Linked DNA regions of Callithrix jacchus. The protein of the gene in region 4 interacts with the protein of the main gene of each other region in a pairwise test. Links are inferred from orthologs where the notes say so. Each region holds a gene or a part of one and is shown on either strand. Other genes may lie near its edges. The genes, in order: DISC1, BFSP2, JUNB, ATF4, golgin subfamily A member 8J, NFE2L2 and GCC1.

Region 1 (4,189 bases), on a different chromosome or scaffold from region 4:
CAGAGACACCAAGCTATTTGTCTACCTTGCTGAGATTACAGTAGTTTTTAATGTTCATTTACTAGTTTACAGTTTTCTGTGCTTCCTGTAATGAGCAAGCATTGCTTCTGGAAAAATAAAAACCCGTAAGATAAACTTAATTTAGGAAACAAGTAAACTAGGAATTGTTTCTGCAGCACAAAGAACATTCATGCTCCTCTCAGAAGTTTCTGCTTCCTCTGGTGGCATCTTGGGTGAGCAATGAGCTTTCTGCAGAAAAGTCCTGCGGCCCAGCCCTGCAAGGTAACCACGACACCCAAAGTCTGGATCCCTGTTAACACCTCATGTGGCATCCTAAAGGTTCTGGCAAATGAATGGTAAAACAAAGCATTAATCCAGATACCACTTTGAGATTTGCAATGAGATCTCGCCTTCTGTTCCTTCAATGTTTTAATAACTTTTCTGCAAATTGTCATCATTCATTATACAAGAAGGTAGTTTAAAGTATATTTTATAAAACAAGGCTGAAAGAAATTAGAATTACCCCAAAGCCTCTTTTGCCAGAACTAACAATTCAGTCTTACATTTTGGGTCTATAGATATGCAGGATGGAAGCTGGGCCCAGTGGCTCATGCTTGTAATGCTAGTGCTTTGGGAGGCCAAGGTGGGAGGAATGACTGAAGCCAGGAGCTCAAGACAGCCTGAGCAACATAGCAAGACTCCATCTCTAAAAAAATAATTAGCTCGGCATGGTGACATGTGCCTGTAATCCCAACTACTCAGAAAGCTGGGCCAGGAGGATTGTTTGAGTCCAGAAGTTCAAGGCTACAGTGAGCCATGACTGCGCCACTGCATTCCATCCTGAGTGACAGAGCAAGACCCTGTATCTCTTAAAGAAAAACAAAAAGTTACCTAAAATCTAATATAGGTCTGTTCTGAATCACGGCTCCACCCTATAATTTCAGTTTGGCCAGTGGCCGAGAACACAGCTGTGAGTGGCACACACCAGGGTTCTAATCCTGGCTTTATGCTCAAGAGCTCTGTGAGCTTGGGAACCAAGCAGGGTGACCTTGAACCTTATCTTTGTCATAGGGAAATGAGGACTGTCATCCCAGTCCCATACAGATATGGGGAGGAGTTCATCAGAGGAATTCCTAATGAAATGTCTGGCACATTTTAAGTTCTAAAAATGCGCAGATATTATTCTTCCCTCCTAGTACTATCATGTGTGATATGTGCTTAGTGACTCACACTCCGCACGTAAGGTGCCTTCAGATCTTTTACCTCATTTGATCCTCAGACAATGCGATCAGAACAAAAGGCAGTAATTACTACCCCCATTTTTCTTTTATCTTTTATGTAAACAGATGAGAAAGCAGGCTCAAACTCCAAGAGCCAGAAAAGCTGCATGTCTCTTGTCCAGGGCTCTTTTTCCTCTGTGGCACAAAACTGAACCTCAGACGACTTCATGTATCATGCCGAGTGTAAAAAACTACATTTATTTTTAAATGTCCTGCTATTCCTACATTAATAAAATCCAACTGGTATTATCACGTTCCTCCCAATTATTTAGAGTTTGCTTAGTAAAAACAGCCACTAAGGTTTTTTGAGTGCACGCTGGGTATCTCAAGCATTGGGTGAGGTGCTTCACGTCCACGGTCACAGTTAAAGTGCATAACAACACTATGAAGCAGGTACTGTGATCGTGTCCACTTAATAACGGGGAAATTGAGGCATCGGTAAGTCCAGGATTGACATGCAGACTGTCTCCAAACCCCAGCTCATGTGGTCCTAGTGTTGTTCATCTCAAGTTTGTCTGGACGATGATAACACTGCAAAGTGAATTCCCATACAACAAAGCTAACGACACAGGGAGGCCAGATTATAAGTGTTCTCTTTTACAGTTCAGGAGACTGAGGCTCAGGCTTAAGTGACTGACCCAGCCCTGTCCTCACCCAGCAAGGACACAAGGAAGCACTCCCTAACTCCAAATTTCACTGACTTTGGAAAACCTCACATTCCTTTGCGAATATTTTAAGAGTGATGTTGAAAAGCAACCATCCACTCAGTGGGCATCACTAAGAGCTGACCGCGAGACCCGCGCTCCGGCGGTGGAAACCGAGCAGTCTCCGGCTTGGGCCGTGGGCGTGCCTAGTAGGAAGTGGGCGGTGGAACTGATTTCAGAGCAGCCCGTAGCCGAGCCACAGGCACCAGTTCCTGGTCCCTCTCCCAGCCTCCTCCCCCTAGGTGCCCGAAGGGGTGGAACCAGAGATCCAGGGTTTGGGGATTAAGGTGGGTGGGACGTCCCCTGTCCCGTGGGGGCGCAGGCTGGGGAGCACCGCAAGGAGAGTGAGCGCGGCGCAGGTGTCCCGGGACGGATCCAAAACCCAAGCACGCCCTGGCAACCCTCCCCGGTCACCAGGACACGCAGCGGGGGCGCAGGTCAGGGGATAGCTGCACAGTCCTGGGTCTGGGACCTGGCCCGGCTCGGCGCTGGCACCGGGCTAGCAGCCCAAGACTGGCTCTTCTCTCAACCCCGCACGCCGCGCGTCCTGCCTCAGTTTCCTCACCTCGAAAGGGGTTGTCAACAGAGGCACGCCCCGACCTACAAGACTTCCTGGGGGCCAGAGCGCGCCCTCCCTGCCAAGACCCCCCAGGACATGCTAGGACGTGGTGGCAGCTCCCTTACCTGCGCAGTGGCCCACGCCGCCGCCACAGGCGGCCGGGGCGCCCTGAGGACGCCCGCCTGGCATGCTCCTCCCGCTGCCAGCTCCTCCCGCTCCGCCCGAGCGGCTGCTGCTCGCTCCCCGAGGCCAGAGGCGGGGGAAGGGAGCGGCGCGCAGGACGGAAGTGGGGAGGGGGCTGGCGACGCAGGGGGCGGCTCCTTTCTTCTCCTTTGCCAGGCCGCGGTTTCCTTTCCAGGGTTGGCCCCTCACACGCGCGCGCACACACACACACACGCACGCACACACACACGCACGCGCACACACACACGCGCACGCACACACACACGCACACACACGCGCGCGCGCACACACACATGCACACACACACGCGCGCGCACACACACACGCGCACACACACACGCACGCGCACACACACGCACACGCACACGCGCGCGCACACACACACATGCACACACACACGCGCGCACACACACACGCGCACACACACACGCACGCGCACACGCACACACACGCACACGCACACGCGCGCGCACACACACGCACGCACACACACACGCACGCGCACACACACGCGCACGCACACACACACGCACGCACACACGCGCACGCGCACACACACACACGCGCACACACGCGCGCGCGCGCTCACACACACGCGCACACACACGCACACACACACACACGCACACGCGCGCGCACACGCACACACACGCACACACGCGCAGCTGGAGCGGGCGGGCCAGCGGCCCTCACAGCCGGTTTCCGGGATCTCGGGACCTCAGGAAGTTTGCTTTCACTGTGGCTCATTTCTGGAGGAAACGAGGGGAAGTGCGGGAGGCCTTCAGCACCGGGTAGAGGAGGGCGCCTTCCAGACGCGTGATTTGAGAAGTGACCACACAGTGATGGAGAAGATGGAGGGATGTGAGAGACTCAATTATACAAAGTGCGGAGGGTGGGGGGAACAGTGGGGATGACCGATGACCCTGAAAAAAGATGAGTGGCAGCAGATGTTTAGAAATGAGATGGAATTCCAATTTCTAGCATCTTCCAGCCGCTCTGGAGTGGTTCCCGGACACAGGCTGGTTTCAGGACACAGGAGTCCATGCAAGCTTGCTCCTAGGCCGCTGATTCAACCCTTCTCTTTGGTTCATTCAAGGAAGCTACTAGAGCACCCCCTAGGTAGCACCTGCTATATAGGACAATGGGTACAAGGAAGGGCTACACGTGGGCTCTGTGTCCTTAAGCAGCTCCCCTCCAGGCCAGAAGGAGAGCACGGGCATATGAAACCAAATCACATCAGGAGCTAGAATGTGCCATGTACCAGAGGCTTGGCACAAACCTTCTTGCAGGTGGCTCAGGGATAGGAGGGAGGGTTGTGAAGAAGGATTGGGGAGACGTTCTACAGGAAAGGGAAGGCTCTCCTCAGAACGAGAGGAGTTACAACTAGAGGAAGGCTGAGGTCCTTCAAAAGCTGACGATCTTATGAGTGAAAGCATACAGTTGTGCCTAAAATTCGTGTTTTG
Region 2 (3,990 bases), on a different chromosome or scaffold from region 4:
GCAGAGGGGGCAGATCACCTGAGGTCAGGAGTTTGAGACCAGCCTGGCCAACACGGTGAAACCCCGTCTCCATTAAAAATACAAAAATATTAGCCAGGCATGGTGGCAGGCCCCTGTAATCCCAGCTACTTGGGGCTGAGGCAGCAGAATTGCTTGAACCCAAGAGGCAGAGGTTGCAGTGAGCCAAGATCATGCCATTGCACTCCAGCCTGGGTGACAGAAGGAGACTCCATCTCAAAAAAAAAAAAAGAAATAATAACTCCATTTTATTGATTGTTCTGACTCTATCTTCAAGTCCATGTTTTTTTAAAAAAAGAAGAAAAAAGAGACCATTTCTCATACCCAAGATCTCGTTTATAGTCACTTAAGAGGAAAGGGAGCCATGTGGGAGCCTGATCCTCAGTGACAGAGGGTGCGTGTCTTGGCGCATGGCTGTGCTGCTCTCACAGGATTTTAGAGCTTCCTAGTCTGTACTCTGCTTGTAGGCAGGAGCCAGGCATCTTATTTATCTATGGATTTGCTAGAATATCCAAGCATGATTACACCCATTTGTAGATAATGAAACTGAGGCCCAGAGAAGTCAGTAAGTTGCAACAGCCCTTGTAGCTCTCTGGAGCCAGAGCAAGTCAGTATCTATAGAGTATAAACTAAGTTTTTGTGGCCCTACTTTTTGACCTAGAAATCGGGACACCTGGTTTCTCCTGACAAGTCTGTCTGGCACCTGAGTGCAAGCGATTGTCCAGCAGATGCTGACATAGTAGAGTATCCAGGGATGTTCTGGTGGTTGTTAGGGCACAATGTTTGGAAACAGGACAGTTGTGAAGAATCCTGGAGGAATGGCTGCCTCTTTGATTTGACAGGCGTTCAGGGCCTGGACTGTTCAAAGATGGAGCAGCCCAGATGGAGGCAAGCGGAACAGCAGCACCGGGGGAGAGCCTGAGAGGACAGTGCTGTTTATCATGTGCTCTGTGCTGTCAGTGAGCACTGACAGCATTGCAGGAGAAGCATCCTGGGATGAAGCAGGAGGCAGGAGGGGCAAATGGGGAGTCCCTGTGTGCACCTGCTCAGCATCCCCCCAGCTACACACAAATAACATTTTGTGACCTCCTCTTGGGAGGCTGCATGCTGGACTCTAGGGGCCAAGGGTCTGAGTTGGTAGTCCCTGGTGGGTTAGAGACTGATTTTGCTCAGAGGGATCCCAAGGCCAGCATCTGGAGAGAAAGGGGAGGAGAGAAGCCAGCCATCCACAGAGAGACCAGCTGAGAAGTATAATGCTGGCTGGAGTCCCAGCATTAGAACCACAGGCTGCAGGCCAGACATGATGGATGAGCTCCAGGCTCTGCAGAAATCACCCTGGAGAGTGGGAAAAGCAGGGCTGACCAAGCAGGGGAGAAAGATTAAACCTGGGCATCCTTCCCTGTCCAGTAAGATAGCCATTAGCTACCTGTGGCTATTTACATTTAAATTAATGAAAATTAGATAAAATAAAAATACAATTCCTCAGTCTCAGCCACATTTCAAGTGCTTGATAGCCATATATGGCTAGTGGCTGCCAGATTGGACAGTGCAGATATAAGATATTAATATTTCCATCATGCAGAAAGTTCTACTTGAATGTAAATTATTTCATTAATATATTTTGTATTGATTACATGTTGAAATAACATTCTGGACATATGGAGTTAAATAGGCTATAATATTAACTTCACCTGTTTCTTTTTACTTGTTTTACCGTGGGCAATAGAAGCTTGTCAATTACCGATGTACCGATTTCTATTGAACAGCGTGGTTGCAGGTGGATACAGGAACACGCCTCCATTTATTCATTGTTTTTAATACCATGTCCATCTGATGGTATTTGATTGGATAATGGCTGTAAAAATCCTTTCTCAACAGTAAAGGTCGCTGAGGCAGCCCAGGGTAATTGGGCAAATGTGACTTTGGAGACACAAAAATTCAGGTTCACATCTCATCTCCATCCCTCCTCTAGCTTTGAAGTCTTGGGCAAATTACATGCCTCAGTTTCTCATCTCAAAAATGTAATCAATGAATGATCCACTGCATATCATTTATTTGAAGGGTACAGAAGATAGTGAATAGTACACGTACGGGGCTAGCATGGGCTCCTAGTAAACCTCGGTAAAAAGTGGCATTGTTGTTATGATTAGCATTTTAAGTGTGAAAGTGTAGGGGTTATGGTCAGTTTTTCTGGCCTGAGAAAGACCAGAAAAACCCTACCCCCTGCCTTCAGCAGCCCCTCCCAGCCTTCTGCAAAGCCCTTGGCACAGCCTGGACACTTACCTGCTGGCAGCTGCTGGCCCAGGAGGCCCGAAGGGCACCCCAGTTTCCCGAGCGCGTGGCCTTGCTCTCCAGGTGCATCCGAAGTTGTGTTTCCAGTTCCTGACTGACTTGCTCAAGGGCATGCACTTTGGCCATATATTCCACCAGGCAGCCCCCTAGGTCCTCAACAGCACCATGGTCCCGCTCCAAACCTGGAGCCGGCATTGTGGCCAGGCCTGAGCTCCGCAGGCCCTGAAGGAAGACACTGCTGATGCCGAGGGCCCGGCGGGTCACACGGGCACCCAGGCCACCTATGCACCCACTGGGTGCTGTTCCTACATAGACCCCAGGTACTCGGATAAGGCCACTCATGGCATTGGTCCTGGAGGCTGGGGGGCTATCCAGGGAGGATGATGACCGCGGCCCCCTGAAGGATGCCCTGTGCCTCTGCAGGGGCATGCTGGAGCTGGCACTGGTGGGCAAGTCCACTACTACTTGCCTCTCACTCATCACCCCTTCTGCCTCTGTGGTGCCCAAGTGGGTTTACAGAGTCCAGTGGCTGTTGGTTTACAGCCCCAGCATCCCTGTGGCCTGGTCACGGGCCTCTCTGGAATCTCCCCTATCCCCGGGGCTGCTTTGTCTGCTGTCTTCCATGAGTTTCCATCATTCACTGAGCTGAAAGAGAAATGGGCACTGGCCAGGGCTGCGTGCAGAGAGGCACTCATGCATTCTTTGATGTAGGGTCATGTGCCCAACCTCCCAGATTTTTCTGCTGGTGGTGGGGGAGGCTGGATCAGTGCAGGCTGTGGGGATAGATCATCTGGGTTCGTGCACTTTATTACCTAAGAGTGGGCAAGGCAGGCATCAAGCAACCCCATTCTACAGACGAATAAACTGAGGCTCAATGACCTCAGATCACAAGTGATCACTTGTCCCAGAGCTCACATTACAAGCTAGGACTCAATCCAGCTATTTCAGGGCTAATTTCAGTGGTTTCTACATCCCTATGTGTGCTGGCACATGTGAATGTGAACACATGTCCACACAAGAAGTAGAGGACGAAAAACGGCAGGACGCAGCCCCAGGGACCCAAGAGAAAAGCCCCTGCTTGTGGTTTCCTTCCCCCTCTCTCAGTCCTGGCAGCAGCTTCAGGTCCTTCCCTTGCCTCTCTCCTTCCTTCGTCATCTCTGTCCTCAGATTCTCTGTTCATCAGCTGCTTGTTGTTGGCCAGGATACTTCCTCCCTCTGGACCTCACTTTCTGAACATCAGCCTGAGCCTCTAACTCTCTGATGTGCCAGATAAGGACCTTGGGCAAATTCAGGCCCCACACATTATGTTCTGGCCATTCTCTCCACCTCTGCTTCTCTATCTGTTGGAAAACTGATACATAAAAACGACAAAGAGAGCATTTTCTGGCAAGCTCTCCAAGGGTGCTTCAAGTTAGGTATGAGGACACCCCTGGGTTTTAACTTTTGATCTTGGCATCCACTAAGCCATCAAGGGTCACACCTCAATCAGTTCTCTAGGATCAGAAAGGTTCCTCAAGTTCCAGGATGACAACACGGGCCTAAAAATCTCTGTATTTAAGTTTTAGCCTGGAGAAATCAGGTCACCAAACCCCAGAGCTGGATATTTTTCGAGATGCTGTAATGTAGGAACGTACCTCAGGTGAGAGAAGGAGAAGGGAGCCAACCTCTAGTGAGTGCCAA
Region 3 (3,814 bases), on a different chromosome or scaffold from region 4:
CCCGGCCCTGAGTCCTGCCGGCGGACTCCCGCCTGTTGCCATGGCGACCAGGCCCAGCTCTTGGGCTGCGTTTCCCGCTGTCGGTCCAATGGAACAGTCCCCAAGCTGTCTGCCTCGGCGATCCCCAGCAGGCGCCGCGGGAGGAACCATTGCCTGGGGGGAGAGGATGGTAGCTGGAGGCTTCTGCTGCTGGGCCGGCTCCAAGCACCAGGGCCTCCGCGTGGGCTCGCACGCCCAGGTTCCTCTTCCGAGGCGCAGGATGCGGCGGGACCCAGGGCGGGGCGCAAGGTCCCGTAGGATCCGAGTGACGGAGACAGGGCCGGGCTCCTTCCCCCGGGGCTGTTGCCACACTTCCTGCCTCGGCGCTCTTTCCCCAGCCTGTTTCTAAGGAAGGGAGTGTGGGGTTGGGCGACCGCGCCCCAGCCGTCGGGCTGGGTCCAGGCGCCGACAGGGTGTCGGGCAAAGCCCAGGGTCAATAGGGGAAGAGTTTTAGGATGGGGGACAGGGAATGCAGATGCCTAAGGGGTCACCCACGAGGGGGAGCACCAGTCATGGAAGATCAGCAGTCCGGGTGCGTGGACCCCAAAGCCCCCTCCTCACGTCAACTGAGTACCCTCTTACTGTCTTCTCTGCTCCGAAGATGGATCCGGATCCTTCTATCTCTCCTTCATCCAGGCTTCGCGGATAACTCCAGTGGTCCCCAATCTCTGCTAGACGTCTACATCTTCTACCCCGCACATTTTACCTGCCTCAGTGTACAGCAGGACCCTTATTCGCTTTCTGCATATCTAGATTTCTCCTAATTCCTCTTTCCCACGTATGGGGAGCTCTCAGATCCTCCCATGGGCTTCGGGACCCCTACTCATTTCTTGCAATTTAATGGGTCATGCAGCCCACCACTGTCCCCTTTTGATCTCTCCTCTCCTCCATCCTGTGAAAATTCCAGTACTCCATCCCTCTGTGCTTGGGGCCCCCAGTCAATTCCTGTGTCAGGTCTCTCCTTACCCCTCCCGATTTACCGTTAGTAACCCTCATTTCTGCTTTTTGGGGTCTCCCAATGAATTGTCAGTCCTTCCACCCCTCTCGTACTCTGGGTACCTCAGGGTTTCTTCGAACACCCTGGGATCTCCACCCCATTTGCTCCGTACCAGGTCCTGGTATTTGTCCCAGTGGGCTGGAGGGAAATCATCCTCCTCCCTGAGCGCCCTCACTCATGTGTCCAGGCCCCTCAGCACCTCCTTCCACGCGGACCCCGGGGTCCTTTGAGCCCCTCCCCCTGCAGCCCCGCCGAGCCACCCGGCCCGTGGCCGCTGTTTACAAGGACACGCGCTTCCTGACAGTGACGCGAGCCGCCTCCTCCCCTTCCCCACGCTCGAGGAGGGGGGCGCGGGGGCCCGGCTCCGGCGACGGCCAATCAGAGCGCACTTCCGTGGCTGACTAGCTTCTGTATAAAGGCGTGTGGCTCAGGCTGAGCGGCTGGGACCTGGAGAGCGGCCGGACCAGCTTCGGAGCCAGCAGGGAGCCGGGAGCTGGGAGCTGGGGGAAACCACTCCAGGAAAGCTAGCGCGCCGAAGAGGGTGAGGGGGACTCGAGAAGCCTGACAGCTTTTGCGTACAGCTTCCGGCTGGCTGCTCCCCGCCCGCGCCAGCCCCGGAGAACGCGCGACCAGGTACCCAGTCCGGCCACCGCAGCGGAGAGCGCGGCGCTCGCTGCAGCGAGGCCCGGGGCGGCCCCGCAGGGACCTTCCCCCGACCGCCTGGGCCGCCCGGATGTGCACTAAAATGGAACAGCCCTTCTACCACGACGACTCATACACTCCTGCGGGATACGGCCGGGCCCCCGGTGGCCTCTCTATACACGACTACAAACTCCTGAAACCCGGCCTGGCGCTCAACCTGGCCGACCCCTACCGGAGTCTCAAAGCGCCTGGGGCTCGGGGATCCGGCCCAGAGGGCGGCGGTGGCGGCAGCTACTTTTCTGGTCAGGGCTCGGACACCGGCGCGTCTCTCAAGCTCGCCTCTTCGGAGCTGGAACGCCTGATCGTCCCCAACAGCAACGGCGTGATCACGACGACGCCTACACCCCCAGGACAGTACTTTTACCCTCGCGGGGGTGGCAGCGGTGGGGGTGCGGGGGGCGCAGGGGGAGGCGTCACCGAGGAGCAGGAGGGCTTCGCCGACGGCTTTGTCAAAGCCCTGGACGACCTGCACAAGATGAACCACGTGACACCCCCCAACGTGTCCCTGGGCGCTAGCGGGGGGCCCCCGGCTGGGCCCGGGGGCGTCTACGCCGGCCCGGAGCCACCTCCCGTTTACACCAACCTCAGCAGCTACTCCCCAGCCTCTGCGTCCTCAGGAGGCGCCGGGGCTGCTGTCGGGACTGGGAGCTCGTACCCGACGGCCACCATCAGCTACCTCCCACACGCGCCGCCCTTTGCCGGTGGCCACCCGGCGCAGCTGGGCTTGGGCCGCGGCGCCTCCACTTTCAAGGAGGAACCGCAGACCGTGCCGGAGGCGCGCAGCCGGGACGCCACGCCGCCGGTGTCCCCCATCAACATGGAAGACCAAGAGCGCATCAAAGTGGAGCGCAAGCGGCTGCGGAACCGGCTGGCGGCCACCAAGTGCCGGAAGCGGAAGCTGGAGCGCATCGCGCGCCTGGAGGACAAGGTGAAGACGCTCAAGGCCGAGAACGCGGGGCTGTCGAGTACCGCCGGCCTCCTCCGGGAGCAGGTGGCCCAGCTCAAACAAAAGGTCATGACCCACGTCAGCAACGGCTGTCAGCTGCTGCTTGGGGTCAAGGGACACGCCTTCTGAGCGCCCCTGCCCCCTTACGGACACCCCCTCGCTGGACGGCTGGGCGCAAGCCTCCCACTGGGGTCTAGGGGGCAGGCGGTGGGCACCTACCCTGGGACCTGGGAGCGCCGCTAACCACACTGGACTCCGGCCCTCCCGCCCTGTGCCCAGTCCTTCCACCTCGACGTTTACAAGCCCCCCCGGTTCCACTTTTTTTTGTATGTTTTTTCTGCTGGAAACAGACTCGATTCATATTGAATATAATATATTTGTGTATTTAACAGGGAGGGGAGAAGGGGGCGATCGCGGCGGAGCTGGCCCCGCCGTCCGGTACTCAAGCCCACGGGGACATTGGGAAGGGGACCCCCGCCCCCTGTCCTCCCCTCTCTGCACCGTACTGTGGAAAAGAAACACGCACTTAGTCTCTAAAGAGTTTATTTTAAGACGTGTTTGTGTTTGTGTGTGTGTTTGTTCTTTTTATTGAATCTATTTAAGTAAAAAAAAAAATTGGTTCTTTATTAATTTCTGTTGTCTTTTTTTCCAAGCTGGGAGGGCCGAGGGAAAAAAAAAGCAATGGTTTGCCCCAGCTCAGTGCTGTAAGTGGCTCGGTCCTGTGTGTGTTCCCCTCTTCAGCTCTGCGCAGGCATCTTGTGGCCCGCCCGGGAGTCCCACCCTATACGCGCCTCCTGATCTCCAGGGTTGGATGGTCGGGGCGCGGGGCGCGGGGCGCGGGACGCGATTTCGGAGCCCAGTAGCAAAAGGCAGGGAGCTCTGCGCGAGACGCGGAGTGCGCAGGCGCGGCCCCGCCCAGCCGCGCGCGCCGGGGCTTTCCCCGCTGACGCAGCGGAAGCGCTGCCCATATAAGGACCGATTCTGCCCAGTGACGCGACCGCGGTCTCTGGGCAGATTCCGGGAATCCCCTCCCCCGCTCTGCCGGGCAGGGCCGCGGCGCCGGGAAGGGGGCCGGGATTTTCCCGGGCAGGCGGCTGCCCGGGCACGGAAAGCCCCAGGCCTGGGTCCAG
Region 4 (3,932 bases):
GGCTCAGTGAAATGGAGGCGGAAGGTTTCCACCTTCGCGGGGCCTGACTGGAGGGAGCTGGGGGACTATGGGGAGGTTTCTTGTATTCTTTAAACAGACTACCCCTTCCCAACGCACAACCCCCAGCAAGTGGCCGTGGGTTCCCAGGCGCCTCTCCTCCCAGGGCCATGAACGTGACTGCTGAAAAGCGGGTTAGGCTGGGGAGTTCAGAATCCGGAGTGAATCGAAACTACCCCAGAGAGACGGCAGCGAAGAAAAATCCTGTTCCTAGGGGAACAGAACGGAACCTGAGGCCACCAGAAGTTCCCCTCTGATGCAATTCCGTAGCAGCCTTGCACTTGAGCCGGATGAGAACTGTAAAAACCCAGGTTGGACGACAGGATGGCGCGTCTTCCCGGCTCCTTTCCAGAGTTTAGGAGGGGCCATGCAGACTCAGCCGGCCTTTGCGGGCAGGTAGGCGAGGACGGGGCGCCCTCTTAAGACCCCTTCAGCCTTCCGAGGACAGCACCATGTTGGCTATGGATGGGGTCTCTGGAAGACTCAGGCTTGGTGCAGGTAACCCCGCGGCTTCCGCAGGCCATAAATCAGCGCAGCGTGCACCGAAGAAGCGCGCAGGCTGGGAGCGGCGACATAGCCGCCAGCGCGGACCTCCATTGAGGGCGGCGGGACCGACAGCTGGGGCCGGGCCTCGAGGCCGCTGTGGGTCGCATGGCACTAAGGCCACCTGGGGGCAGAAGTCGGCGCGATCATGGCGGGCTAGCAGGCGGGAGGGGCTGAGACAGAGCAGACAACCCCGAACCCCGGCCCTTCCCGCGCAAGCCCTGGGCTCCCTCTCGCAGCAGCCACCCACCTAGGGCCCTGAGCCAATAAGAGCTCGAGGTATATATGACTCACCGCGCCTGGGCCAATCAGCTCGACGCGCGCTCTACACCAGCACCTCGCGCGATAACCTGGCGGCCTCGGCCTTCACAATGAAAACCCTCTGTGGGAAAACCACCTCTCCCCGCCCACTGCGCCGACACCGGAAGCGAGGCGTGTCTGAGAGATCACTCCGCGCTCCGGCGGCAAAGGTAAGAACGGACTCTTTAATCATAGAAACTAATAAAGTAGTGCGCCTCTCTCCTTTCATGAGGCCATAGAAACAAATTCCTTTTCCTGTCACAGCTGCGCCCGGACATAGGTGGTGGGGGCGTCAGAGGGAGGGAAGCGAGCAGACGGGAGGAGACGGTCACGTGGCTGCTGCGGAAGGATAAGTCTGTGCTGTGTTCCAGCGGAGGCGAACTTTATAAAGGGCCGACGGGCGGCGGCTGCGGCCATTTCTACTTCTCTCTCTCATAGATGTAGTTCTTCACGCACGTGCGCGCCTTCCCTCCTCCCCGCCCGCAGGGTCCAAGGCCACCATGGCGTATTAGGGGCAGCAGTGCCTGCGGCAGCGTTGGCCTTTGCAGCGGCGGCAGCAGCACCAGGCTCTGCAGCGGCACCCCAGCGGCTTAAGCCATGGCGTGAGTATCCGGGCGGGCTATCCAGCCGTGCTCCCTGGGTCGGCGAGGGTTTTGGGCTGGTGGGGCGCGGCATGGGGCCGGGACGGTGCCGCCAAGAGGGAAGCGATTTTACGAGCGCCAAGGACGCTGTAGTCTCTGCTTGGGTGTTTCCGAGACGCTCGCGTACCCGGGGCCGGGAAAGCGCAGCTAGGTGCCAGGACTGCTTCCCCGGGGGTCTCGCCACCCTCGTACCTCGAGACGTTTCCCTGAGGGTCTCAACTGTCCCACCCGCGAAACGTGGCAGAAGCCAAGATGGCGGCCGCAGGGCGGCGCCGCGGGCGTGAGTCACGGGCGGGCGGTGGGCGGGGCGTAGCCGCCCTGGCCGTATTTGGACGCGGAGACGGAGCGCTTTCCTGTTGGCCAGTGAGGGAATGGCCGGTCCTCCACGATCGTCCATTTTGTGGAACCTGAGCTGGAAGCGGGGGGAGGGGGGCTGGGGGGGGAATACATCTGCCCTGTCTCTAGATGGCCGGTTTAGCCGTCCCACCTCATAAGTGGAAAGATGAAATTCTTAGATCAGCTAACGTAATGGGACTTGGCTTCTGATTCTTATTCAGGCTTCTCACGGCATTCAGCAGCAGCGTTGCTGTAAGCGACAAAGACACCTTCGAATTAAGCACATTCCTCGATTCCAGCGAAGCACCGCAGCATGACCGAGATGAGTTTCCTGAGCAGCGAGGTGTTGGAGGGGGACTTGATGTCCCCCTTCGACCAGTCGGGTTTGGGGGCTGAGGAAAGCCTAGGTCTCTTAGATGACTACCTGGAGGTGGCCAAGCACTTCAAACCTCATGGGTTCTCCAGCGACAAGGCTAAGGCGGGCTCCTCCGAATGGCTGGCTGTGGATGGGTTGGTCAGTGCCCCCAACAACGGCAAGGGTGAGTAGGCTGCCACCAGCCACATCCAGGTGGGATCTGGGGTTAGGGGCTTGCTATCTTTGTGTCTGACTCACTGGGCCCATCACTCGTATCTTTTGCAGAGGATGCTTTCTCCGGGACAGATTGGATGTTGGAGAAAATGGATCTGAAAGAGTTTGACTTTGATTCCCTGTTGGCTACAGATGACCTGGAAACCATGACAGATGAGCTTTTGGCCACGTTAGATGACACATGTGACCTCTTTGCCCCGCTAGTCCAGGAGACTAATAAGGAGCCCCCCCAGGCGGTGAACCCAATTGGCCATCTCCCAGAAAGTTTAACAAAACCCGACCAGGTTGCCCCTTTCACCTTCTTGGAACCTCTTCCCCTATCCCCCGGGGTCCTCTCCACCACTCCAGATCATTCCTTTAGTTTAGAACTGGGCAGTGAAGTAGGTATCTCTGAAGGAGATACGAAGTCAGACTCCACTGCTTACATAGCCATGATCCCGCAGTGCATAAAGGAGGAAGACACCCCCTCAGATAATGATAGTGGCATCTGTATGAGCCCAGAGTCCTATTTGGGCTCCCCCCAGCATAGCCCCTCTGCCAGGGGCTCCCCAAATAGGAGCCTCACATCTCCAGGTGTCCTCTGTGACTCTGCCCGTCCCAAACCTTACGACCCTCCTGGAGAGAAAATGGTAGCAGCAAAAGTAAAGGGTGAGAAACTGGATAAGAAACTGAAAAAAATGGAGCAAAACAAGACAGCAGCCACTAGGTACCGCCAGAAGAAGAGGGCAGAGCAGGAGGCCCTCACTGGTGAGTGTAAGGAGCTGGAAAAGAAGAACGAAGCTCTAAAAGAGAGGGCAGATTCCTTGGCCAAGGAGATCCAATACCTGAAAGATTTGATAGAAGAGGTCCGCAAGGCAAGGGGGAAGAAAAGGGTCCCCTAGTTGAGGGTAGTCAGGAGCGCAAGGTGCTTGTACATAGGAGTCTCTCGCTGTAGCTGTGTGTGTGAATAAATTATTTTGTAGTGAATACTTCCATGTGTGTAATTCCTTTTGGCACAGTAACAGAGTGAAACCGCTACCATCCGCCTGCCCCATGCTGGTCTTAATGTGCCCTGTGCAATCTGGGGAGGAGGGCAGTCTAAGACTAGATTTGTACCCAGGGTGGGATTTGCTTATCCCTGCTAGGTGTAGACCATGGTGGCTGATGACTTTGATGGGGCTCTCTAGAGCTGGTTGTAGCAAGCTGGGTTTTGGCCAGAGCTGAGTGCTGGTCAGGTAGGGAGGCGGTTTGAAGGGAGGAACAGCCTGGGCCTTCACCTGTGTGTTCAAGGCCTTCGTGCCAACATCCTGTCACATAAAACCCTGGGCAAGGTTGCACACTCCTTGAGGTGAGCACGTAGGATTAGGTTTCACTTATAACCTAAACAGTTCTGCAGAAGCCTCTGAGAAACAGCTCCTTTTGGGACTTGATGTTGAAGCAGGACGCGGGCTGGAGACAGGCCTCTTTCTCCTTACCTGGGGGTGGAA
Region 5 (4,208 bases), on a different chromosome or scaffold from region 4:
ACCACTGCACTCCAGCCTAGGAGACAAAGTAAAACTGTCTTAAAAAAAAATAGAAGAACCTGGCCCCATGCCTTTTGGGTAAAGAATAATAGACTTATACTATTATCCCCTGTTGCAGGTAAAAACAAACAAACAACAACAAAAACCGAGTCCAAGTTATTGGGCCAGGATCAGTGTGACAAGACTAGAACACACAACAGTCTGACTTCCAAATGCATCTCTGTCAGGACATTAGATGAACTCTACAATCACTTTTTCTCAGATTGGCCCCTCCCCAGCCATCCCAGTAATGTCTAAAAAGTAAATATTTTCCTATATTACCAGGAATAAATGTTTAGAAAATTATATAAGTATGGCACAATAGCAACAAAACATGAATAGGGGTCGGGTGCGATGGCTCATGCCTGTAATCCCAGCAGTTTGGGGGGCCAAGGCAGGCGGATCACAAGGTCAAGAGATCCAGACCATCCTGGCCAACGTGGTAGAAACCATGTCTCTACTAAAAATACAAAAATCAGCCGGGTGTGGTGGCGTGCGCCTGTAGTCCTAGCTACTCGGGAGGCTGAGACAGGAGAATCGCCTGAACCTGGGAGGTGGAGGTTGCAGTGAGCCAAGATCGTGCTACTGCACTCCAGACTGGCAACAGAACGAAACTCCATCTCAAAAAAAAAAAAGAAAGAAAAAATATATAAATGGGAATAGAAATAGTCCTAACTGGAACTATTGACCCATGTGGGGAAAGTAAACAACTTGACTGTGAGACCGCCTGTTGCTAGATCGAAGTGCTATTGTAAAGTTAGTTCTCTTCCAAACTAATGTGTAGACTTAGTTATTCTAGTCAAAATACTAAAAAAAAAAAAAAAATTTTAACTTAGAATTGCCAAGCAACAGACCTTAGCATATGTAAGAATTTAATATATGATAAAATTAGCACCACAAATCAACGGGAAAATAATTCTAGGGAAAAAATAACTATGTAGGAAAAAATATTCCTCGTCTTCCATCTTACATCAAAATGAAATCTAGGTGGTTTAGCAAGGTAATTAAAAAATATATATTTTAAAAGAGAGCTAGAAGAAGGAAAAAGAGACAGAAAATAAAACAGGTGAAAAACAGATCTCCATGTGGTAATCCACTTCCTTTTTTTTTTAAAGTATACAGACATATATGTTTTAAAGTTTATTTTTTAAAGCTTTTAAAGGAAAAGCCGACCCCTCCCTCCTCCCGGAGTGGGCGGCCCCTCCCCTCTCTGAGTGGGCGGAGACAGCAGTTTCTTGGGCAGCTTCCCGCATGACACCACTGGTCCTGTGGTCCCTTTCATCTTTCTGATTGACCAATGGGCTTGGAGCATTAAGGCCACGCCCCCTATTTATGTTCTAGTGGGGCCCTGGTTACGCCTCCCTGGCTCAGTCACACAGCTGCCTGGTAGGTGACTGGAGCTGTTTACCAGTGCTTGCCTGATTTTGCTGATGTGACCCCAACCCCGCCTCCCTCCCCACCCCGCGATATCAACGTCCACAAAGTCTCGAGATAGCCAATTGGCAGAGCCAAAAAAAAAGGTAAGACGTACCAGGTCATGGCCCCCCAACCCAGCCACAGATCCCCTCCGATGGCAAGACTGCTGCCAGAGTCCATACCACTCCTGAGGCACACGGGACTGGGCCCCCCAACCTTGGAGCCTCTGAGCTCCCCCCACCAAAGTCTTGTCAGTCCAACCCATCCTTTCAGCAAGCAGCCCCGTCCCTGCCATCGCCAATCACCCCAGAGTGACTTTGGGCGGGTGACTCCTGGGACTCCCCACTCCATACGTGGCCCTTGCTTCCTGCCTCCCCAGGATCAACCTCCCTGGGCTCCTTGGGCTTGTGTCTCCAAGGACGTGGGTCCCCCAGCCCTAGGCCCCACCCTCACCAGTCATCCCTGGGTGACTTTGGGCTGGTGACTCCTGGGGCTCCCTGCTGCAGACTCTGCGCTCCCCTCCTGCTTCTCCAACCTCAACCTTCCAGGGCTATTTCAGCTGGCCTCTCCAAAGACCTGGGTCCCAACCCTGTGTTTCCCTCCCCATCATGGAGCAGCAACTCTGGCGTGGCACTGATGTGGTCCCCTCCCCCTGGAGTAGAATGTAATGATGTCACCATCCCTCTACGAACTGTCATTACTGTTGCAAGACCTGGCTTTGATCTTATGACCCAGTCCCCTAAGGGTTCTCATCCCATTTCTGGTTCCTCTTGTCACAGAACACATTTCCAGCTGGCAGGGGAGTGGAGACTATGGGACCTAAGAGCAAGAGCTTTCAGGCTGCCTCACTCCCTTAACATAGACATTGACAGTGTGAGAAGCCTACACTTCCCCTGTGAGCTCAAAATGTTAACAGTTTCTCTGGGTGGCAATGGAAGAATGGGTTTGGCTTGGTTTTCTTCCAGGCTTCTGCTCTCCAGAGAGACTTTAACATTTTGCTCTGAGTTCTCCACCTCATATTCGAATTCTCCATAGTTCTGGGACCAACTGCCCTTCAGTCAGTGGTCTCTGGAATGAGATCTCCTCATCTTCTACTGAATAGATCTTGGGAAACAACTTGACAGCTTGAATCTTCCTCATATCATCTCAACCTGGGGTACTTCTGAGTGCCACAGGAAAACTGTGGGATATCTTTCTGAAGTATCAGTTTCTCTTGAGTCTCTTGAGAAAGGAAAAAACAATAATGTACTTAGGGAGGACAGTCACATGGGTTTCTAAGAGTATACCCGACTTCTCTCTGAAATGAGGCTTGGGCTGTCATCTTGCTGAGAAATACCCAGATTTAACAGAAACGCTGCCTTCTGCCATGACGACACATCGATATAAAAGTGTGAGCAGTACTGGCGCACTTCTAACACCAACAGATGTGTGAAGGTGTATGACTGTAAAACATACAGTGTACAGGTCCTGCTACTTAATGTTGAGTTTTTCTACCTCTGCCTCTGGTTTTGGTCCCTGGAAGCTGCTGATTCATGGGAAAATCCCAGAGCTTGGAGTCAGAAGACTGAGTTTAAGTTCCAGTATTGCCTTTTTTTTTCTTTTTGCCATATCAGTCCCTCTCAGTCTCTGATTGCGACAACACCTTGTACAGTTGTTGGTGGCATTAAATCAGATGGTGTATAAGAGTGTATTGTAAAAACTGTAAAGGGGGATGTGGCTGTTGGGGCTGGTGGTTCTCATGAGTATTACTGCTCTTCTTTCCCACAGTTAAAAGAATATCAGATGAGGAAGAGATCTGGTGTTGACGAAGGAGCGAAAAGAAAATTGAACAAAAAGGCCAGTAGCCCTGAGTCAGCCGCCTATGGTGGTTGCCAGTCACCTGGGGATGTGAGTCTTGGCCAGCCAGTCTCCTGGGGATGGGGGGAGAGGGGATGCCCAAGGGGCAGTGGAGGGTAATTGCTAAGATTGTGGATGGACTGTCAGGTACTGGTTAAGAATTCTGGGTTTGAATCCTGCCTCTCCATCTGCTAGGGATACGATTTAGGCAAGTTTCTTGAGCTCTTTGGGCCTCTCTTTTCACATCTGTAAAATACAAGCGGCATTGTTTGAATTCTATTTGTGAAGTTTAAGTGAGATTTGTGATTGTCAGTGTTTTTATGTTAATCTCCAGTACATGGCCTGCTGTAAAGAGCCAGGACACCCAGGAAATGGTCGTTGCTGTTTGATTTTCCTCATCCTCAGTCTCAAGGGGAAGCCAGGCCAATGAGAACAGCCACTTCCCATCAGCCTGTCCCTTCAGCAGTCACTGAAAGAGCCCCAGAGTGGGAGGGTGGGGAGATAAGAACCACGAGAAAAGCTGGCACAAAGGGGTTATGGGACAAAGGGTCCGAGATAGGCAGAACAGAAAATTTTGCCAGTTGATGGGAAAGAAAGGAAGTCAGAGGTCTTAGACACTGAGGGGGACAGAACATTTCCATGCACACTTTCATCTCTTGTAGTCAGAAATGGGTATGCACACAGAGGGCCCTGTGTCATGTACTGCTGCGAAAGATATGGAGGTAAGAGGCCCTGCGCCGAGGTGCAGTGACCCTGCAGGCCAGCCCTCCAGCCTCCTTCCACAGCGGGGGCTGGGTGCCCTTCTGCCAGCTGAGACAGCCCCCATACACCATAGCCCTAATGATTGTTCTCTCTACCTCCCCCAAGTTCTCCTCCAACTCCTCATCTCTGCATGCACCTCGGAGGCACTACCAAGA
Region 6 (3,694 bases), on a different chromosome or scaffold from region 4:
CCGTTTGTAGATGACAATGAGGTGACGTATAAAACAACTGATAAATAGCAAAACTCCATAACTATATAATAACAATCATATTCTATGTAAGTCCCTTCAGTAAGTCTCCATTTAAAAGAGTAAACATTTTTAGGAGGAAATTTTTTAACCAAGGAAATACTCTGTCAAGGAAACCTTAGTCTATAGATAACTTTACAATTAAGAAAAAAAAAACCTTCACATAATATAAAACCAAAATCATTTACTATCGCATAGCCAGAAACATGGACAGTATAACCATGGAAACAAATAACTCATTTGTTACAAGTATCTAAGAGGTTTTGGTGAGTAAAGAACAAGCTGGGCAATGAACGAAGACTTGTTAACAATTTTAATAAATCTGTTTTATCTAGTACTACTGTGCTAGATATTACATAAACTAAATCCTAAAGATTATACTTAAACATTTTAAAGCTTACTTTCAAATGCTTAGGCTGAAACTATTAGGCCAGCAAATAGTAAATGTGAGTCAGTAGGGTTAGGAAAAAGACTTGTTTCATTATTTACAAACAGGAGTCATGATTGGTTAGTAAGTAGAGACACGGAACTGCAGCTGATTCCACTTTGTGTCGTGACGGTGCCTTAGAGCTTACTCATCTTGTTGGTGGAAGACTCATTAATCAATGACTTATCAATTTTAGGTTTCTTCGGCTACGTTTCAGTCACTTGTTCCTGATATTCCTAGCCACATCGAGAGCCCAGTCTTCATTGGTACTAATCAGGCTCAGTCACGTGAAACTTCTGTCGCTCAGGTAGCCCCTGTTGATTTAGACGGTATGCAACAGGACATTGAACAAGTTTGGGAGGAGTTATTATCCATTCCTGAGTTACAGGTAACCAAAATAGAATGTAATACTGAAGATATTATTTTATATTTAGTGCCCTTTAGTCATTCTGATTATTTATGTGCCACCTATTTATAGGAACGATTGGAGGGTGCCTTTAAATTAGTCATGAGTGCTGCCCATGCTAGTTAAGTGGGTTGGATATCCTGAGGAATTTTTTTTTTTTTTTGAGACAGAATCTCACTCTGTCACCCAGGCTGGAGTGCCGTGGTGTTATAACTGGGACTACAGGTGTTATAACTGGGCTACACCACGTCCAGCTAATTTTTGTATTTTTAGTAGAGATGGGGTTTCACCGTATTGGCCAGGCTGATCTAGAACTTCTGACCTTGTGATCCACCCACCTCAGCCTCCCAAAGTGCTGGGACTACAGGCATGAGCCACCTCGCCCAGCCAAGGATAGAATGTTATAAACCTGACATCTGATGTGGGAACTCTGAAAATAATCCGTATACTTAGGCATGAATACGTATTAGAAATGAGAATTATCTCTGAATTACAGGGGTAATAAATTATAGAGATAAGCCTGGAGAGAATGTGGATAGGAAGTTTATCTAAATTTATTGCATGTGGATTAACTTTGATTTATATAGTATAAACTTCTTTCTCATGCAGTGTCTTAACATTGAAAATGACAAACTGGTTGAGACTACCATGGTTCCAAGTCCAGAAGCCAAAGTGACAGAAGTTGACAATTACCATTTTTACTCATCTATCCCCTCAATGGAAAAAGAAGTAGGTAACTGCAGTCCACATTTTCTTAATGCTTTTGAGGATTCCTTCAGCAGCATCCTCTCCACAGAAGACCCCAACCAGTTGACAGTGAACTCATTAAATTCAGATGCCACAGTCAACACAGATTTTGGTGATGAATTTTATTCTACTTTCATAGCCGAATCTGGTATCAGCAACAGCATGCCTTCACCTGCTACTTTAAGCCATTCACTCTCTGAACTTCTAAATGGGCCCATTGATGTTTCTGATCTATCACTTTGCAAAGCTTTCAACCAAAAGCACCCTGAAAGCACAGCAGAATTCAATGATTCTGATTCTGGCATTTCACTGAACACAAGTGCCAGTGTGGCATCACCAGAACACTCAGTGGAATCTTCCAGCTATGGAGACACACTGCTCGGCCTCAGTGATTCTGAGGTGGAAGAGCTAGATAATGCCCCTGGAAGTGTCAAACAGAATGGTCCTAAAACACAACCAGTACATTCTTCTGGGGATGTGGTACAATCCCTGTCACCATCTCAGGGGCATAGCACTCCCATGCATGATGCCCAATGTGAGAACACACCACAGAAAGAACTGCCTGTAAGTCCTGGTCATCAAAAAACCCCATTCACAAAAGACAAACATTCAAGCCGCTTGGATGCTCATCTCACAAGAGATGAACTTAGGGCAAAAGCTCTCCATATCCCATTTCCTGTAGAAAAAATCATTAACCTCCCTGTTGTTGACTTCAACGAAATGATGTCCAAAGAGCAGTTCAATGAAGCTCAACTTGCATTAATTCGAGATATACGTAGGAGGGGTAAGAATAAAGTGGCTGCTCAGAATTGCAGAAAAAGAAAACTGGAAAATATAGTAGAACTAGAGCAAGATTTAGATCATTTGAAAGATGAAAAAGAAAAATTGCTCAAAGAAAAAGGAGAAAATGACAAAAGCCTTCACCTGCTGAAAAAGCAACTCAGCACCTTGTATCTCGAAGTTTTCAGCATGCTGCGTGATGAAGATGGAAAACCTTATTCTCCTAGTGAATACTCCCTGCAGCAAACAAGAGATGGCAATGTTTTCCTTGTTCCCAAAAGTAAGAAGCCAGATGTTAAGAAAAACTAGATTTAGGAGGATTTGATCTTTTTTGAGCTAGTTTTTTGTACTATTATACTAAAAGCTCCTACTGTGATGTGAAATGCTCATACTTTATAAGTAATTCTATGCAAAATTATAGCCAAAACTAGTATAGAAAATAATATGAAACTTTAAAAAGCATTGGAATGTCAGTATATTGAATCAGTAGTTTCACTTTAACTGTAAACAATTTCTTAGGACACCATTTGGGCTAGTTTCTATGTAAGTGTAAATACTACAAAAACTTATTTATACTGTTATGTCATTTGTTATATTCATAGATTTATGATAATGACATCCGGCTAAAAGCAAATTATTGCAAAACTAACCACTATGTACTTTTTTATAAATACTGTATGGACAAAAAAATGGCATTTTTTATATTAAATTGTTTAGCTCTGGCAAAAAAAAATTTTAAGAGTTGGTACTAATAAAGGAATATTATGACTGTTAAAATTATTTCTTTGGAATTCCTTTGAGTTTATTCACACAGTAGTGTTTTCCATAATCATCTATTTAATACATTTAGATGTTTTGCATCTTCAGAATGTTTTCTTTGAAAATATGAAAAGAATTTTATGCTAAATTTCTAGTGACAGGGTTATAGAGAAAGTATATCAAGAGGATACTTTGCCTCTTCAATAGCAGGTACATCTAAACCCAAAAAATGTTATACACTGACATGAACGCATTGATTGATTTATTCCTGTAAGTAAATAATACACACTATACACTAGGCAGGGTTTGAAGTAGAAAGGAAAAAAACCAATACCCCTACCCTGGAATTTGCATTCTAGTGAAGAGGAGGTAACAAGGGTACTCCACTGTTAGAAGTGGATGGGGTAAAACAGTAAAAACATCACAGCACAAAAATAAGGCTATAAATGGGAAGAGCCTTACTGAGGTGGCAATATTTGAAGGTGTGGGAGAAGCCCTTCTCATAGCTAAGAGCACTG
Region 7 (4,300 bases), on a different chromosome or scaffold from region 4:
GAACAGACCGCCAGGGCCTGCCCCATCCCTACCTGCAAAGTCTGTAACAAGCACAGACTTTGGGAAACAGGAATGAGTGAGCGCATGACTTTCCTCTTCTCTTCAGTCATAGACGTGCATCCGTAAGAAGGCTTTTCCAAGGCTGAAGAGTACATTTTAGAGAGTCCCAACATAATAACAACTAGTGGTCACCAAGTTAGGTCAAGTCTACGTTTAGCTCTTTTATCAGCCTCTTTTGTCTCCATCTCTGTTGTCACTACCTTCTCTTCCCCATGACTGAGTCTCTTCACAGGTCTCCTGCCCCTTGTTCCCTCCACCATGTCATACAAACCTTGATGACATTCCACTTTTCAGATTAAAATCCATTAGGGCCTTACTATCACCCAAGATAAAATTTAAATGCCATAAGTTGGGTCCCTGCCTCTCATGCCAGCCCCTCTGTTGTCCCCTCCTTCACATACCCTAAACTTTTGAATGCATTCTGGGTGAGTCAAACTCTGATACCCTACAGGTCTTTGCATTTTTTTCCCACCTGCCTGGAATGCTGGTTTCCCTGATCTCTGGTTAGGTGGACAATCAGGACTCATACTTCAAATCCCAAAGTATTATTCCCAAGAGCCTTCCATTCTTCATTGAGCCAGGCCTCTTTCCTCTCTTAACTTTCCTACCACTTTGAATATACCAATACATACCGGTGTTATAGCAGGACATGTTTGCATGTCTAGTTCCTCACTAGATTGTGAGTTCCCTGAAAGCAAGGTCGTATCTCTTAATGGTGTTATCGTCTGGTACAACACATAATACGTTGAGAATCAGACTGATTCAGATAGAACTAAACTTCTTAGCTCTGTGGTCTTGGGCATGTTACGTATAACTTTTTGCCTCATGTTCCCCTATTTGTAAAATAGTGCTAATGAAAATAGTGCTTATAATAATTATCGTGAAGACGAAATAGCAAAACTCTTGTGCGCTCCTTGTACATAGCTGGCACTCAGGATAGACACGGCTATAGAGTGCCCTCCATAAATATTTGTTGAATCAACTCAGCAGAACTAAGGAAGCGTACTGACTATTACGCTGTATACCTACTAGGTGCCAAGCCTTGTGCTAGAGTACTCCAGTTTTCGCGGTCTATATGCAAGTCTTTAATTGTTGCCTTTTAGGGATATGGGACCTGAGCCCCCAAATCCTTGGATGCGTCGTTCACCTAGGTGTTTGTTAAGAACGCTGTGCGACGTTGCCCTCTGTCGCTCGCTGATCGTAGCCCGAGGTCAAGCTTAGGCGCTCTCACAAAACCCAGACCACTCTGATGTTTTCGGCTTTGCTTGTTTCTCCTTTCCCAAACCTGTTGGCCGCTCGCTACCCTACTGCGTTTTCAACAGGCCGCGCCCACCCACTGGCGGACTGGGCTCCGCCTAACTCGCGCCCACTGGGGGCGGGGCTTGCGGCGCCTAGCTGACGTCACTTCCAGCGGACACGGAAGCGCGGTAGTGGGCAGGCAGTTGTAGTTAGGAAATCGTGATGGGACGCCGCTCTGCGTGAGCACCTGACCGACGTGGGCCGAGCGGGGCCGGCCCGGGCTCCTGTGGCCTGGACAGAGCGGAGAGTGTGGAGCGGCTTCTGGGCCAGCGCGGACGAGCCCTGGCCGAGCGCGCCTCTGGTGCCAGCGTCGCCCCGCCTCCAGGGTAGTACCCGCCCCACCCTCCGGGCTTGGGACCAGGCGGGCACTTTTGTCTGTAGGTTCCGCCTATCCGCATTAGGTCCGGGATAACTGGGTGCAGCAGGTGTGCGGCCCGCCGCCGGACAGCCCGCTGGCTGTTTCTTGAAGCCCTTGCCTGCCTCTTCGCAGCCCTCTCTTGGGCTACTGGAAAGCTGAAGTGGAGCAGTCCGTTCAGAACCTTCATGGAGAAGTTTGCTATGAATTTCGGTGGCGGCCCGAGCAAGAAAGACTTGCTGGAGACTATAGAGACGCAGAAAAAGCAGCTTTTCCAGTACCAGGCACGGCTCAAGGATGTGGTCCGTGCCTATAAAAGCCTGCTGAAGGAGAAAGAGGCGCTAGAGGCCAGCATCAAGGTGCTGTCGGTATCCCACGAGGCAGATGTGGGCCTCGCAGGTGTCCAGCTTCCAGGCGTCGCCTTTCCGGACTTTGTGGATGACCGGTGCTCCACTCACAGTGAGGATAGCACTGGGACCGCCACTAGCGTGGATACGGCAGCCAGTCTCACCAGCACCAAGGGCGAGTTTGGGATAGAAGATGACAGACCAGCCCGTGGACCACCACCTCCGAAGTCCGAAGAGGCCAGTGGGTCAGAGAGTGGTGTTAGCAGTAGCAGTGGGGATGGGCCATTTGCGGGTGGGGAGGTGGACAAAAGACTGCACCAGCTGAAGACTCAGTTGGCTACTTTGACCAGTTCTTTGGCCACAGTCACTCAGGAGAAGTCCCGCATGGAGGCTTCTTACCTGGCTGACAAGAAAAAGATGAAACAGGACTTAGAGGATGCCAATAACAAGGCAGAGGAGGAGAGGGCTCGCCTGGAGGGAGAATTGAAGGGGCTGCAGGAGCAAATAGCAGAAACCAAAGCCCGGCTTATCACGCAGCAGCATGATCGGGCCCAAGAGCAGAGTGACCATGCCTTGATGCTGCGTGAGCTCCAGAAGCTGCTGCAGGAGGAGAGGACCCAGCGCCAGGACTTGGAGCTTAGGTTAGAAGAGACCCGAGAAGCCCTGGCAGGACGATCATATGCAGCTGAACAGATGGAAGGATTTGAACTTCAGACCAAGCAGCTGACCCGTGAGGTGGAGGAGCTGAAAAGTGAACTGCAGGCCATTCGAGATGAGAAGAATCAGCCAGACCCCCGGCTGCAAGAACTTCAGGAAGAGGCCGCCCGCCTTAAGGGCCATTTCCAGGCCCAGTTACAGCAGGAAATGAAAAAGGTAATTATCCACCTCTCTTTCAAACATAGTCATTGATCTGAAGTGGGAAATACTAGGGTTTTTTTCCTCCTTTGCTAGTGAGAGCTAAGTGTTTGTACTGTCATTTTTGATGCTACCTGAAAAGTTCCACTGGTGAGTCCCGGGAAGTGCTGTTTTATGTGGTGTTGACGTAGAAGCTTCCAGGAGGATGTGGAGCTTCTCAGTGTAGGCTGGGTTGGAGCCAGTCAGCCCTGCCCTTCTGGGCATTGGCATCTTACCAGCTGTGTTCTATGAAGCAGTATAGTGGCAGCTGTACAGTAAAAGGTAGTGTATTTTCTGTTGGTATGTGCCGCTAGGGAGGGTGGCTGAAGGCAAAGGGGGATTTTCTCAGAAGTAACCTCTTGTCATTGCCTTTACTTAAGATTTGCCTATTCTGGAGAAATGCTATTTTCCAGAATAGGCCTCCTTTCTGGTGGAGAAAGGGGGCTTCCTTCCAATGTGGTGAGGGAGCTCCAGCTCAGTTTTGAACTACTAGGAATATTAGATAAGGAAAAATCTTGTATGATTTCTTAAGATTTGAGGAAGCACCTGAAAAACAACAGTGACACACATTATATGTGAGTTAGGTGGAAAGCAGAATGGAATGGCAGATATGCCAAGGTGCTTAATATTTTTTAGTATAATATGTCTTGCAGAACCCAGGCAGGTCATAGGAACTTTTGTTAGCTCCTGAATCAACCGAAAAATCCCTATTTCCCATTCTTGTCAGGCCATTCCAATCCTGTGACCCTTTTGCTCCCCTGTCCTGCTTTCTCAAAGTTTGCTGTGGGGCTTTTGTGGATGCATTATTTCTCTTCCCTTATTTTGCAGACAGCTCTTGCAGAGGATCAACTCCGTCAGCAATCTCAGGTGGAAGAACAGAGGGTGGCAGCCCTGGAGAATCAAATATCTGAGGTGTCGGAGCTGCTGGGCACGTACGAGAAAGCCAAGCAGAAGGACCAGCTGGCCATCCAGAAGCTGAAGGAGCGTATTCTGCAGCTGGACCTGGAGAACAAGACACTGGCTCTAGCAGCCTCCAGCAGGTCCCCTCTAGACAGCCATGGAGAGGAGTCTAGTCTGGATGTCAATGTCCTGAAGGATAAAATGGAGAAGCTGAAGAGACTGCTGCAGGTTGCAGCCAGGAAAAGCCAGGTGACCCTGGATGTGGAGAAGCTCTGTGACCTGGAGATAATGACCAGCTCGGAGACTGCTGATGGGGAGAAGGCTACTGCACTCTATTACCAACAGGAGCTGAAACAACTGAAGGAAGAGTTTGAGAGGTACAAGATGAGGGCCCAGGTGGTCCTAAAAAGTAAGAATACCAAAGATGGTAATCTGGGGAAGGAGC

Evidence for each region.
Region 1: the proteins of ATF4 (region 4) and DISC1 interact in binary tests that used the Homo sapiens proteins (3 or more experiments, as listed by UniProt). The link is inferred for Callithrix jacchus from reciprocal best matches to the Homo sapiens genes ATF4 and DISC1.
Region 2: the proteins of ATF4 (region 4) and BFSP2 interact in binary tests that used the Homo sapiens proteins (3 or more experiments, as listed by UniProt). The link is inferred for Callithrix jacchus from reciprocal best matches to the Homo sapiens genes ATF4 and BFSP2.
Region 3: the proteins of ATF4 (region 4) and JUNB interact in binary tests that used the Homo sapiens proteins (3 or more experiments, as listed by UniProt). The link is inferred for Callithrix jacchus from reciprocal best matches to the Homo sapiens genes ATF4 and JUNB.
Region 5: the proteins of ATF4 (region 4) and golgin subfamily A member 8J interact in binary tests that used the Homo sapiens proteins (3 or more experiments, as listed by UniProt). The link is inferred for Callithrix jacchus from reciprocal best matches to the Homo sapiens genes ATF4 and GOLGA8F.
Region 6: the proteins of ATF4 (region 4) and NFE2L2 interact in binary tests that used the Homo sapiens proteins (3 or more experiments, as listed by UniProt). The link is inferred for Callithrix jacchus from reciprocal best matches to the Homo sapiens genes ATF4 and NFE2L2.
Region 7: the proteins of ATF4 (region 4) and GCC1 interact in binary tests that used the Homo sapiens proteins (3 or more experiments, as listed by UniProt). The two-hybrid records come from large-scale screens. The link is inferred for Callithrix jacchus from reciprocal best matches to the Homo sapiens genes ATF4 and GCC1.

The regions. Positions count from the first base shown.
Region 1 is NC_133520.1:53,273,396-53,277,584, forward strand, and holds the start of DISC1 (disrupted in schizophrenia 1 protein), read right to left. Parts: upstream 2,801-4,189; 5' UTR 2,733-2,800; coding exon 2,669-2,732; intron 1-2,668. UniProt on the Homo sapiens protein: Involved in the regulation of multiple aspects of embryonic and adult neurogenesis. Required for neural progenitor proliferation in the ventrical/subventrical zone during embryonic brain development and in the adult dentate gyrus of the hippocampus.
Region 2 is NC_133518.1:50,728,877-50,732,866, forward strand, and holds the start of BFSP2 (phakinin), read right to left. Parts: upstream 2,801-3,990; 5' UTR 2,791-2,800; coding exon 2,302-2,790; intron 1-2,301.
Region 3 is NC_133523.1:11,614,676-11,618,489, forward strand, and holds JUNB (transcription factor JunB), read left to right. Parts: upstream 1-1,478; 5' UTR 1,479-1,769; coding exon 1,770-2,813; 3' UTR 2,814-3,314; downstream 3,315-3,814. UniProt on the Homo sapiens protein: Transcription factor involved in regulating gene activity following the primary growth factor response. Binds to the DNA sequence 5'-TGA[GC]TCA-3'.
Region 4 is NC_133502.1:190,271,470-190,275,401, forward strand, and holds ATF4 (cyclic AMP-dependent transcription factor ATF-4), read left to right. Parts: upstream 1-1,311; 5' UTR 1,312-1,502; intron 1,503-2,098; 5' UTR 2,099-2,190; coding exon 2,191-2,416; intron 2,417-2,517; coding exon 2,518-3,347; 3' UTR 3,348-3,432; downstream 3,433-3,932. UniProt on the Homo sapiens protein: Transcription factor that binds the cAMP response element (CRE) (consensus: 5'-GTGACGT[AC][AG]-3') and displays two biological functions, as regulator of metabolic and redox processes under normal cellular conditions, and as master transcription factor during integrated stress response (ISR).
Region 5 is NC_133509.1:69,816,190-69,820,397, forward strand, and holds the start of golgin subfamily A member 8J, read left to right. Parts: upstream 1-1,408; 5' UTR 1,409-1,559; intron 1,560-3,222; 5' UTR 3,223-3,237; coding exon 3,238-3,342; intron 3,343-3,953; coding exon 3,954-4,013; intron 4,014-4,158; coding exon 4,159-4,208.
Region 6 is NC_133507.1:52,142,925-52,146,618, forward strand, and holds the end of NFE2L2 (nuclear factor erythroid 2-related factor 2), read left to right. Parts: coding exon 1-21; intron 22-680; coding exon 681-872; intron 873-1,499; coding exon 1,500-2,726; 3' UTR 2,727-3,194; downstream 3,195-3,694.
Region 7 is NC_133512.1:119,385,751-119,390,050, forward strand, and holds the start of GCC1 (GRIP and coiled-coil domain-containing protein 1), read left to right. Parts: upstream 1-1,500; 5' UTR 1,501-1,902; coding exon 1,903-2,934; intron 2,935-3,783; coding exon 3,784-4,300. UniProt on the Homo sapiens protein: Probably involved in maintaining Golgi structure.